Nothobranchius furzeri: one gene and its partners. The main gene of each other region encodes a partner of the protein of the gene in region 2 in a complex. Links are inferred from orthologs where the notes say so. Each region holds a gene or a part of one and is shown on either strand. Other genes may lie near its edges. The genes, in order: notch1a, poglut1 and f7l.

Region 1 (3,653 bases), on a different chromosome or scaffold from region 2:
CCCCCTGAATTCAGTAAAACAAAGAAAGCCTGTTGGTTTTACGCTAACCCGAGTGTGTTTTTGTTCTAATCCCATCACTGCAGGGCCTAACTGCCAAACTAACATCAATGAGTGTGCATCCAATCCTTGCCTCAATCAGGGAACCTGCATTGATGATGTGGCTGGATACAAATGCAACTGTCAGCTGCCTTACACTGGTATGACATAGAGAGGCTATCTCTCTTGGAAAGTGTCAGACTTCCTATATTCTTGAAGGCTGTTTGTTGCCGTCTCAGCTGTTTGTGCAGGTCTGAAAACGTAAAGATAGTACTCCAACATCCGACCAACGGGTTTATCCTATCACACAATGTGTTGTCTGAGAAAACACCAGATGATTGCTAACTGCAGGGATGCCTTGTTGACATCTCAGTGTGGAAAGATGTGCTTGTCTGTTTTCCAGGGATAACATAGTATGTGTGGTTTGCAATAACATGCCACAGCAGTTGATATGAGAAGCACACTCAAGTCCAAGCTTTAGCCCCACTTCCGTTGTGTGCTGTTTCCTGTCTAAAATCACACAATGGCAGGAAACAGGAAGGCCCTTCCTGTTTGGCTAAGTCATCATGGAAATGGATAAGGAAGTGGAATGGAAAAGGGAATTTGAAAAGTGATGCTACTTTCAAAAATGAACTGTTTACCTGAACATGTACTATGAGTAACCATTATTGTTTTTTTTTTTAAACAAGCAACTGCTGTAGAAATGAGCAACAACCAGTGCTAAATCCGATGTTTGATGTGTTACCAGGTGAAAACTGTGAGACCCTGCTGGCCCCCTGCAGCCCTCGACCATGTAAAAATGGTGGCATATGTAAAGAGGCAGAAGACTACCAGAGCTTCTCCTGCATCTGCCCTGAAGGTTGGCAAGGTATGCATCTACTCACGTTTGTGTAAGTCAGTTGATCGTTCAAACAACTGGATTTTACAATGTTTCTTCAATCACTGTTTTCCCAAACTACAGGTCAAACTTGTGAAATCGATATCAATGAATGCGTGAAACATCCGTGCCGTAACAGTGCTCTGTGCCTTAACACTATGGGCGGCTACCAGTGCAAGTGCAAGCCGGGTTACAGTGGCAAAAAGTGTGAGACAGACATAGATGACTGCAAACCGAGTAAGTCAGTTATCTGCAGAACTGCAAGTTCCAGTCTTGTGAAACACTACAACAAACTGCAACCTTACTTTTCTCTATTTTAGATCCATGCAGTAATGGGGGACTGTGTCATGATGGCATCAACAGTTTCATGTGTACTTGTCTGCCTGGGTTTCACGGCAGCCGGTGTGAGCAGGACATAAATGAATGTGAGAGCAACCCTTGTAAGAATGGGGCCAACTGCACTGACTGTGTCAACAGCTACACCTGCACCTGCCCACCAGGCTTTAGTGGTATCAACTGTGAGATCAACACCAACGACTGTACTGACAGGTAGTTTTACTTAACATACACACTTATAAGATGAGGTATGCAAAACTGAGTGCTAGAATCTTTAGAATAGATTTAATTTCATTTTATTTTACAGCTCTTGTTTCAATGGTGGCACCTGCATGGATGGAATCAACACATTCACCTGCCTGTGTCTAACCGGATTCACCGGCAGCTACTGTCAGTATGACATCAACGAGTGTGACTCCAAGCCGTGTCTCAATGGCGGAACCTGTCTTGACAGTTATGGGACATACAAGTGCACCTGTCCTCATGGCTACACTGGAGTCAACTGTCAGGTAGGAGCTTTATTTAATCACAGACTCTGACACATTCATATTCTTGCTTAAAGAGCAATGCCCCCCCAAATCAAAAATTTTTTGCTGATAAATTATATAAACAAGCGTCTAATCATGCAGTAGACACGTGTAGTCAATAATTTGTCACTTTAGTGCATCTTAGTTAAAATGTCAATATTCTGCCAGTATTGCACCCTCTTCAGGTAAGAACTCTGCACTGCATTGAATTTAAATCTGCCATTGCTATTTGCTAAGAGGTATACAATGACGTTAGCTGGTACACTATTATGTCACAAAGTTGTTCTGAGCCTGTGTGCGTGTGTATTTGTTAGCGGCTCCACCCTCCACTCTTTGCATTTTTCAAACAGGAAGTAGGAGTGGAGTAAGACTCTGGTAAGGGGTGGTTTGCTTTTTAATTTCGCAGTTATGATTGATCCGTTTGGTTCCTTTTTTAGAATCTTGTGCGCTGGTGCGACTCTTCACCTTGTAAAAATGGAGGCTCCTGCTGGCAGCAGGGAGCATCCTACACCTGCCAGTGTCAGACTGGGTGGACTGGCCTGTACTGTGACATCCCAAGTGTGTCTTGTGAGGTTGCAGCCAAACAACAAGGTAGAACAATTCACTTCATGCGTTTTAGCTTGTACGTTTGACTTGATTGGATCTAAGTCTGGTGTGTGTGTGACTGATGCATTCTGCAAACCATTTTCCGTTTTGATTACAGGTGTGGAAGTGTCTCAGTTGTGCAGGAATTCTGGCCAATGTCTGGATGCTGGGAACACACATTACTGTCGCTGCCAGGCTGGTTACACGGGGAGTTACTGCCAGGAGCAGGTGGATGAGTGCTCACCAAATCCATGCCAGAATGGAGCAACCTGCACCGATTATCTGGGAGGTTACAGCTGTGAGGTAAATTAAATATGACTGATCAAAATCACCTCATAACTTAAGGGGGAACATTTTAAATAATTAATTATTCTTAACTTTCTCTTTTGTCAGTGTGTTCCTGGTTATCATGGGAGAAACTGTTCCAAAGACATTAATGAATGTCAGTCTCAACCCTGCCAGAATGGAGGCACCTGCATAGATCTCATCAACACATACAAATGTTCCTGTCCCAGAGGGACACAAGGTATATACTGTATATGCATGCCCAATATAATCAAATAACAACCTACATGTGACCATAATTGATGAAAAACATGTTCTGATCCAATGTGTCTGCTTTCTGTAGGTGTTCACTGTGAAATTAACTTGGATGACTGCAACCCCCCTATCGACCCCTTTACCAAAGAGCCCAAGTGCTTCAATAATGGCAAATGTGTGGACCGCATTGGAGGCTACCAGTGTGTGTGCCCACCAGGTTATGTTGGTGAACGCTGCGAGGGCGATGTCAATGAATGCTTGTCAGACCCTTGTGACCCTAGAGGGTCCTACAACTGCATCCAGCTCACCAACAGCTATCGGTGCGAATGCAGAACTGGATATACAGGTACTGCTTTGTTTCTAGCAACACATTACTCAAGGAATAAAATAGATGTATGAAAAAGAACCTGGCACAATTTTTTCTGTTTTACAGGTCAGCGTTGTGACAAAGTGTTTGATGGCTGCAAGGGAAGACCCTGCAGGAATGGAGGGACTTGCGCTGTTGCCAGTAATACGCCTCATGGTTTTATCTGCAGATGTCCACCTGTAAGTTCTCTTAAAACATCTTCTTATACAAATGCCCCTTTCAATTCTGATGTTTTATTTTATAATAACAGCAAACTAATTCTGTTTGTGTTCCTTCAGGGCTTCACTGGCTCTTCTTGCGAGTATGATTCTCGGTCCTGTGGGAGTCTGAATTGCAAGAATGGTGGAACATGCGTATCAGGCCACCTTGGTCCACGCTGTCTGTG
Region 2 (3,753 bases):
TTTAAAAGGCTCCAGGTCACGTTCTAAGACACTGAGGTGGAAAATTCAAACAAAACATAAGTAAAAAGCATAAATGTGAATTTTCTGACGGTAAAATGACGAGGAAGACTGATCACTCACCTACTATGACAGCTACAGTTGACGGGACTACATGGAGTGAACTCTTTCACAGCTTCTGAAATTGTTCGTCTAATTTTCTTCCACTGATTTTCTGCAAAAACACAAGATAATGAACCCTAAAGAGCATGCAGCACAACTCTGTAGTCGTCTCTAAAACAAACACATGAAATAAAACGTGGGAGAAATCGCGATGAAAAACGTATGCTTGGTTTTAACGGCAGATGGTCTTTTAGCCTTTAGCTAACTAGAGATGGTCTTTTAGCCTTTAGCTAACTGGAGATGGTCTTTTAGCCTTTAGCTAACTGAAGATGGTCTTTTAGCCTTTAGCTAACTAGAGATGGTCTTCTAGCCTTTAGCTAACTAGAGATGGTCTTCTAGCCTTTAGCTAACTGGAGATGGTCTTCTAGCCTTTAGCTAACTGGAGATGGTCTTCTAGCTTTTAGCTAACTGGAGATGATCTTCTAGCCTTTAGCTAACTGGAGATGGTCTTCTAGCCTTTAGCAAACTGGAGATGGTCTTCTAGCCTTTAGCTAACTGGAGATGGTCTTCTAGCCTTTAGCTAACTAGAGATGGTCTTTTAGCCTTTAGCTAACTGGAGATGGTCTTCTAGCCTTTAGCTAACTGAAGATGGTCTTTTAGCCTTTAGCTAACTGAAGATGGTCTTTTAGCCTATAGCTAACTGAAGATGGTCTTTTAGCCTATAGCTAACTGAAGATGGTCTTTTAGCATTTAGCTAACTGGAGATGGTCTTTTAGCCTTTAGCTAACTGAAGATGGTCTTTTAGCCTTTAGCTAACTAGAGATGGTCTTCTAGCCTTTAGCTAACTGGAGATGGTCTTCTAGCCTTTAGCTAACTGAAGATGGTCTTCTAGCCTTTAGCTAACTGGAGATGGTCTTCTAGTCTTTAGCTAACTGGAGATGGTCTTCAAGCCTTTAGCTAACTAGAGATGGTCTTTTAGCGTTTAGCTAACTGGAGATGGCCTTTTAGCCTTTAGCTAACTGGAGATGGTCTTTTAGCCTTTAGCTAACTGGAGATGGTCTTCTAGCCTTTAGCTAACTGGAGATGGTCTTCTAGCCTTTAGCTAACTGGAGATGGTCTTCAAGCCTTTAGCTAACTAGAGATGGTCTTCTAGCCTTTAGCTAACTGGAGATGGTCTTCTAGCCTTTAGCTAACTGGAGATGGTCTTCTAGCCTTTAGCTAACTGGAGATGATCTTCTAGCCTTTAGCTAACTGGAGATGGTCTTCTAGCCTTTAGCTAACTGGAGATGGTCTTTTAGCCTTTAGCTAACTGGAGATGGTCTTCTAGCCTTTAGCTAACTGGAGATGGTCTTCTAGCCTTTAGCTAACTGGAGATGGTCTTAGCTAACTGGAGATGGTCTGGTTGCCTTTAGCTAACTGAAGATGGTCTTCTGGCCTTTAGCTAACTGGAGATGGTCTTTTAGCCTTTAGCTAACTGGAGATGGTCTTCTAGCCTTTAGCTAACTGGAGATGGTCTTTTAGCCTTTAGCTAACTGGAGATGGTCTTTTAGCCTTTAGCTAATTGGAGATGGTCTTCTAGCCTTTAGCTAACTGGAGATGGTCTTCTAGCCTTTAGCTAACTGGAGATGGTCTTCTAGCCTTTAGCTAACTAGAGATGGTCTTTTAGCCTTTAGCTAACTGGAGATGGTCTTCTAGCCTTTAGCTAACTGGAGATGGTCTTAGCTAACTGGAGATGGTCTGGTGGCCTTTAGCTAACTGAAGATGGTCTCACACATTTTGTTGCAACACCTAAAAACATCCAAAGAGTTTAGCTTGACGATAACCACTTTGATCAAAAATCTTTATCCCTGCCAGCATTTGGTTTTTCATAGATTTAATTGTAAAAATAAGTAAAATAAGTAAAGTTCCCAAAATTAAGTTTTATGCCCAAATATAAAATAAAAACATGAGTATCTCAATTTATAATGGGTGACAAAATCTGAAACTAGTACAATCTATATTTCAGCTTCCTCAAACTATCTGTATAAACTAGATTTATCTCAGCAGATGTCTAGTTGTTCGTTTTATGAGTTGTGGAAAACAAATGAATCAAACTGAGTAAACTTTAGCCCACAAATGCTCGTTTCAATACAGTAAGTACATATCTGAAGCGGTCAGACACTGGCACGGCATTGGTTTTTATTAGTTATCAGACGCATTTGTAATTCTCTCTCAGTCTTTAGGGGAAAACACCACATTAATGTAATTTAGCCGCTAACTTTACCAAACGTGGTCACTTTAAAGGGGTTAGCTTACAGCAGCTAGCTGCTAACTGATTCATTTCTATCGAGTTACCTCGAAGAGTCCAAACAAAATGTAATGCTTGCATTTAAGGTATTTTAAAACCAAGATCTTTAAAGCTAAATTAGTACCTGATACACCGACCGAAGTGAAACAACAAACTTGCAGAAATAATAAAGAACTCCACAAACAGCTACGCTCCATGTTTGCCTTTATCCTTTAACTTTGTCTGAGAACAAAGCAGCGATCGGTTATCTGTTAATTCTGTCTGAATTTGGTTATTACGGTAATGCGCACCAAAAGGACCATTTTATCACGGGGCGCTTACAAGAGGGCAAGTTTTATTCTCTGTTTTTGGCTTAAAAAAGAAAACGTGTACTAAAATATCAATTTATTCTTGAGTCACTAAGCATTACTTCAGTCATTTTATCTTACTGAAGCAAGAAAATTTGAACAGAAAATTTATGTAATGTCCTTCAGTGCAACAACGTAGGTGTAACAGCAGCGGTATATAAAAAGAAAACGAATGCAAACTGTATAAAGTACAATGTATATGTGAAAAATATTTACAAATAGACAAATTTACCTTATTTGACAATAATGTGTGATAAACTAAAGCTACATCAGAATAGCTAAATTATAAAAGAAAGAAAAGTATGTGGACGTTGGAAGAAAATGTTAATCACTATCACCACCATTAATAACATCACTATTATGTGTGTGTGTGGGGGGGGGGGGGGGGGGGACTGATGGGCAATCAGGCGGGGTACACCCTGGACAGAGAGCCAGTCCATCGCAGGGCAGCACAGAGACACTCAGGATAAACAATCACGCACACACACACTCACACCTAAAGACAATTTAGACAGACCAATCAACCTAACAGTCATGTTTTTGGACTGTGGGAGGAAGCCGGAGGACCCGGAGAGAACCCACGTATGCACAGGGAGACCATGCAAAAGCAAACCCAGGACCTATTTGCTGCAAGGCAACAGCTCTAACCACTGCACAGCCATATATATATATATATATATATATATGCCTGTGATTTCCATGCATTTGCCTGTGATTTCCATGCATTTCCTATATATATATATATATATATATATATATATATATATATATATATATAGGAAATGCATGGAAATCACAGGCATGCATTTTTTTCAAAAGGTAATATTTGTAACTACATCTCCCCATAGCAACATCATCTTTATAAACAGTGACATTTTTTAATTTCTCGATTTGGAACGTCTGCTGAATGAATATTCTTCTAAATGTCCTCCTTTGAGTTTGAGGGAGGAGGAGTAAAACCCTCCTGATATTTGGATGATGCAAGAGGAGGAGATAAAGGACGAGAGGAGAGGGAGAGAT
Region 3 (3,753 bases), on a different chromosome or scaffold from region 2:
AATGTGTCTTAAATTCACCATGTTACCGTCTCACCGGCTGCACTGCCAGGTTTCCCATCCAGGGATAGACTTTGTTTAAATTTGAGCACATTTTCCGTCTGATGGGAGGCGAGTTAAGCTCAGAGTCTGCATGGCGCAGTGGTTAGCCCTGTTGCCTCGCAGCACGAAGGTTGCAGGTCCGAAACTCAGCTGCGGCCTTTCTGCGTGGAGTTGCGTGCAACAAAATAAAGACAAATAAATACCTCGTTGGCTGTTTTGCTTAAAACACAAAGGGAATCCATCTGTCTTCCTTTAAGTCCTTTCATTATTTATTCCTTCGGCAATGCATTGAATCTGTCCATTCTCAGCTAGCTGCTTGTAAGCACTTCATCCAGGTTCTGTGTGTTCCTCACACCTGGCTTGTATTCATCAATTAAGGGTGTGGCTGTCAGCAGCTCATGTAGCTTTTCAAAATAAAATTACAGGAAGCACAACCAACCCAGTGTCTTACAAATGGGAAAAATAAATAAATGAAGATATAAACAGCAACAGCAGTTACACCATGCATGTGTGGGTTTCCTCCGAGTACTCCGGTTTCCCCCACAGATCACAACATGCCCTATAGGTTATAGATTGTAAGTCGCTTTGGATAAAAGCGTCTGCCAAATAAATAAACATAAACATAGAGTCTCTTCTTCCAGGTTCAGACTTTTTGTGTTTGTGTTCAGGTGAGAACTGCAACCGCGGGGCAGCGCTCGGGGCCCTTCTGGGGGCTGGGGCCGCCCATGCCGGATTGGGCGTACCTCCAGAGTGGAAGGACAAACTCAGAGATGCCCAGGAGTTCCTCCCCAACATCTTGAAGGAGGTGCACTGAGAGCCGCCCTGCCCTCTGGAGGACAGGAGGAGAACTTTCAGAAGAGCATTAAAATCTACTTCCTCTTTACGGGTGCCTCATCTCTCCTAAAATTAGAACATGATTTTTATTAATGATGAATTTATTTTCTGCACTTCTCACTTTGTAAATGAATAAGAATCAGAAAACCTTTCAATGAAATATTATTCAATGTTTTTCTTATATATTACATTATTCTTATTATTGTCAGGCTGTGCTGTTTTTCGTTAAAGCTTTGAAATAAAATATTCACATGCTCAGACCAAAGTAATAACTCGTCTTTTGTGTGTTTATTATTTATGAGTTTGTGAGTTACTGTAGATGACCAGAACATTTCAACCAGATGTTTATTATCAGAATTGTTGAACACAAATAAACGAGTGTCTTTTAACCTGAAACAGGAAGTCAAACGTGTGGAGAATGCAAGTGTTTTTGTGTGTTTGTTTTTCACTACGTGACCTTTGGTCGGGCCACAACAATCATGGCGTTCATCAGCAAAAAGACGAGTCGTGTCTTCTTCCTACTGCTCATCACTGCTTCTCTCCCATCATGCACTGGGACTCAAGGAGGTCAGTTTGTTCCTTCAACTCTTCTTCTTCACCTCAGGGATCCGTTCCCATCAGGACTCCATCAGAGGAGTGCAGACCACAAGCAGATTACACAATCTGATGGCTTAAACTTTTCCTGTTTTATTAGTTTGTTCTATAATATTTATTTCTCTAACTGATTTTAGTGAGCAGGACTTTATGAAATTGTATTAAATATAATATATTATAAAATCAGGATTGGTGTTAATATGTTTAAAAAATCTGTAAAAGTTAATTTTAATAAGATTTTTAAAAATTACGTTATAGAGAACATTTTTATTTAGATATGAGCTGGTCTGGATATGAGATGGTCTGGATATGAAAGGGTCTGGATATGAGATGTCTGGATATGAGATGGTTTGGATATGAGATGGTCTGGATATGAGATGTCTGGATATGAGATGGTTTGGATATGAGATGTCTGGATATGAGATGGTCTGGATATGAGATGGTTTGGATGTGAGATGTCTGGATATGAGATGTCTGGATATGAGATGGTTTGGATATGAGATGGTCTGGATATGAGATGGTTTGGATATGAGATGTCTGGATATGAGATGGTTTGGATATGAGATGTCTGGATATGAGATGGTTTGGATATGAGATGTCTGGATATGAGATGGTTTGGATATGAGATGTCTGGATATGAGATGGTTTGGATATGAGATGTCTGGATATGAGATGGTTTGGATATGAGATGTCTGGATATGAGATGGTTTGGATATGAGATGTCTGGATATGAGATGGTTTGGATATGAGATGTCTGGATATGAGATGGTCTGGATATGAGATGGTTTGGATATGAGATGTCTGGATATGAGATGGTTTGGATATGAGATGGTTTGGATATGAGATGTCTGGATATGAGATGTCTGGATATTAGATGGTTTGGATATGAGATGGTTTGGATATGAGATGTCTGGATATGAGATGGTCTGGATATGAGATGGTTTGGATATGAGATGTCTGGATATGAGATGTCTGGATATGAGATGGTTTGGATATGAGATGGTTTGGACATGAGATGTCTGGATATGAGATGGTTTGGATATGAGATGGTTTGGATATGAGATGTCTAGATATGAGATGGTTTGGATATGAGATGGTTTGGATATGAGATGGTTTGGATATGAGATGTCTGGATATGAGATGGTTTGGATATGAGATGGTTTGGATATGAGAGGTCTGGATATGAGATGGTTTGGATATGAGATGGTTTGGATATGAGATGTCTGGATATGAGATGTCTGGATATGAGATGGTTTGGATATGAGATGTCTGGATATGAGATGGTTTGGATATGAGATGTCTGGATATGAGATGTCTGGATATGAGATGTCTGGATATGAGATGTCTGGATATGAGATGGTCTGGATATGAGATGTCTGGATATGAGATGTCTGGATATGAGATGGTCTGGATATGAGATGTCTGGATATGAGATGTCTGGATATGAGATGGTCTGGATATGCGATGGTCTGGATATGAGATGTCTGGATATGAGATGTCTGGATATGAGATGGTCTGGATATGAGATGTCTGGATATGAGATGTCTGGATATGAGATGGTTTGGATATGAGATGGTCTGGATATGAGATGGTTTGGATTTGAGATGTCTGGATATGAAATGTCTGGATATGAGATGGTTTGGATTTGAGATGTCTGGATATGAGATGGTTTGGATATGAGATGGTTTGGATATGAGATGTCTGGATATGAGATGGTCTAGATATGAGATGGTTTGGATATGAGATTGTTTGGATATGAGATGTCTGGATATGAGATGGTCTAGATATGAGATGGTTTGGATATGAGATTGTTTGGATATGAGATGGTTTGGATATGAGATGTCTGGATATGAAATATCTGAATATGAGATGTCTGGATATGAAATGTCTGAATATGAGATGTCTGGATATGAGATGGTTTGGATATGAGATGGTCTGGATATGAGATGGTTTGGATTTGAGATGTCTGGATATGAGATGTCTGGATATGAGATGGTTTGGATTTGAGATGTCTGGATATGAGATGGTTTGGATATGAGATGGTTTGGATATGAGATGTCTGGATATGAGATGGTCTAGATATGAGATGGTTTGGATATGAGATTGTTTGGATATGAGATGTCTGGATATGAGATGGTTTGGATATGAGATGGTTTGGATATGAGATTGTTTGGATATGAGATGGTTTGGATATGAGATGTCTGGATATGAAATGTCTGAATATGAGATGTCTGGATATGAAATGTCTGAATATGAGATGTCTGGATATGAAATGTCTGAATATGA

Evidence for each region.
Region 1: the proteins of poglut1 (region 2) and notch1a are in contact, whole or in part, in a crystal structure (PDB 5UB5), measured with the Homo sapiens proteins. The link is inferred for Nothobranchius furzeri from reciprocal best matches to the Homo sapiens genes POGLUT1 and NOTCH1. Residues at the interface, in NP_689518.1 of Homo sapiens: Met103, Phe104, Pro105, Ser106, Arg107, Asp133, Gly170, Pro171, Ala172, Val173, Trp174, Pro178, Thr179, Gly180, Thr214, Asn239, Gln240, Ala241, Val274; in NP_060087.3 of Homo sapiens: Asn454, Glu455, Cys456, Val457, Asn459, Pro460, Cys461, Gln462, Asn463, Asp464, Ala465, Cys467, Gly472, Glu473, Phe474, Val485, His486.
Region 3: the proteins of poglut1 (region 2) and f7l are in contact, whole or in part, in a crystal structure (PDB 5L0S), measured with the Homo sapiens proteins. The link is inferred for Nothobranchius furzeri from reciprocal best matches to the Homo sapiens genes POGLUT1 and F7. Residues at the interface, in NP_689518.1 of Homo sapiens: Met103, Phe104, Pro105, Ser106, Arg107, Arg132, Asp133, Pro171, Ala172, Trp174, Pro178, Thr179, Thr214, Asn239, Gln240, Ala241, Val274; in NP_000122.1 of Homo sapiens: Asp108, Gln109, Cys110, Ala111, Ser112, Ser113, Pro114, Cys115, Gln116, Asn117, Gly118, Gly119, Cys121, Gln126, Ser127, Tyr128, Arg139, Asn140.

The regions. Positions count from the first base shown.
Region 1 is NC_091746.1:60,826,826-60,830,478, forward strand, and holds part of notch1a (neurogenic locus notch homolog protein 1), read left to right. Parts: intron 1-83; coding exon 84-197; intron 198-784; coding exon 785-904; intron 905-997; coding exon 998-1,150; intron 1,151-1,233; coding exon 1,234-1,462; intron 1,463-1,556; coding exon 1,557-1,758; intron 1,759-2,213; coding exon 2,214-2,367; intron 2,368-2,479; coding exon 2,480-2,664; intron 2,665-2,754; coding exon 2,755-2,887; intron 2,888-2,989; coding exon 2,990-3,247; intron 3,248-3,334; coding exon 3,335-3,447; intron 3,448-3,546; coding exon 3,547-3,653. UniProt on the Homo sapiens protein: Functions as a receptor for membrane-bound ligands Jagged-1 (JAG1), Jagged-2 (JAG2) and Delta-1 (DLL1) to regulate cell-fate determination.
Region 2 is NC_091754.1:55,565,130-55,568,882, forward strand, and holds the start of poglut1 (protein O-glucosyltransferase 1), read right to left. Parts: upstream 2,636-3,753; 5' UTR 2,584-2,635; coding exon 2,511-2,583; intron 212-2,510; coding exon 121-211; intron 32-120; coding exon 1-31. UniProt on the Homo sapiens protein: Dual specificity glycosyltransferase that catalyzes the transfer of glucose and xylose from UDP-glucose and UDP-xylose, respectively, to a serine residue found in the consensus sequence of C-X-S-X-P-C.
Region 3 is NC_091743.1:82,200,174-82,203,926, forward strand, and holds the start of f7l (coagulation factor VII), read left to right. Parts: upstream 1-1,138; 5' UTR 1,139-1,352; coding exon 1,353-1,440; intron 1,441-3,753. Other genes in the region: uncharacterized protein, read left to right, coding at 708-853. UniProt on the Homo sapiens protein: Initiates the extrinsic pathway of blood coagulation. Serine protease that circulates in the blood in a zymogen form. Factor VII is converted to factor VIIa by factor Xa, factor XIIa, factor IXa, or thrombin by minor proteolysis.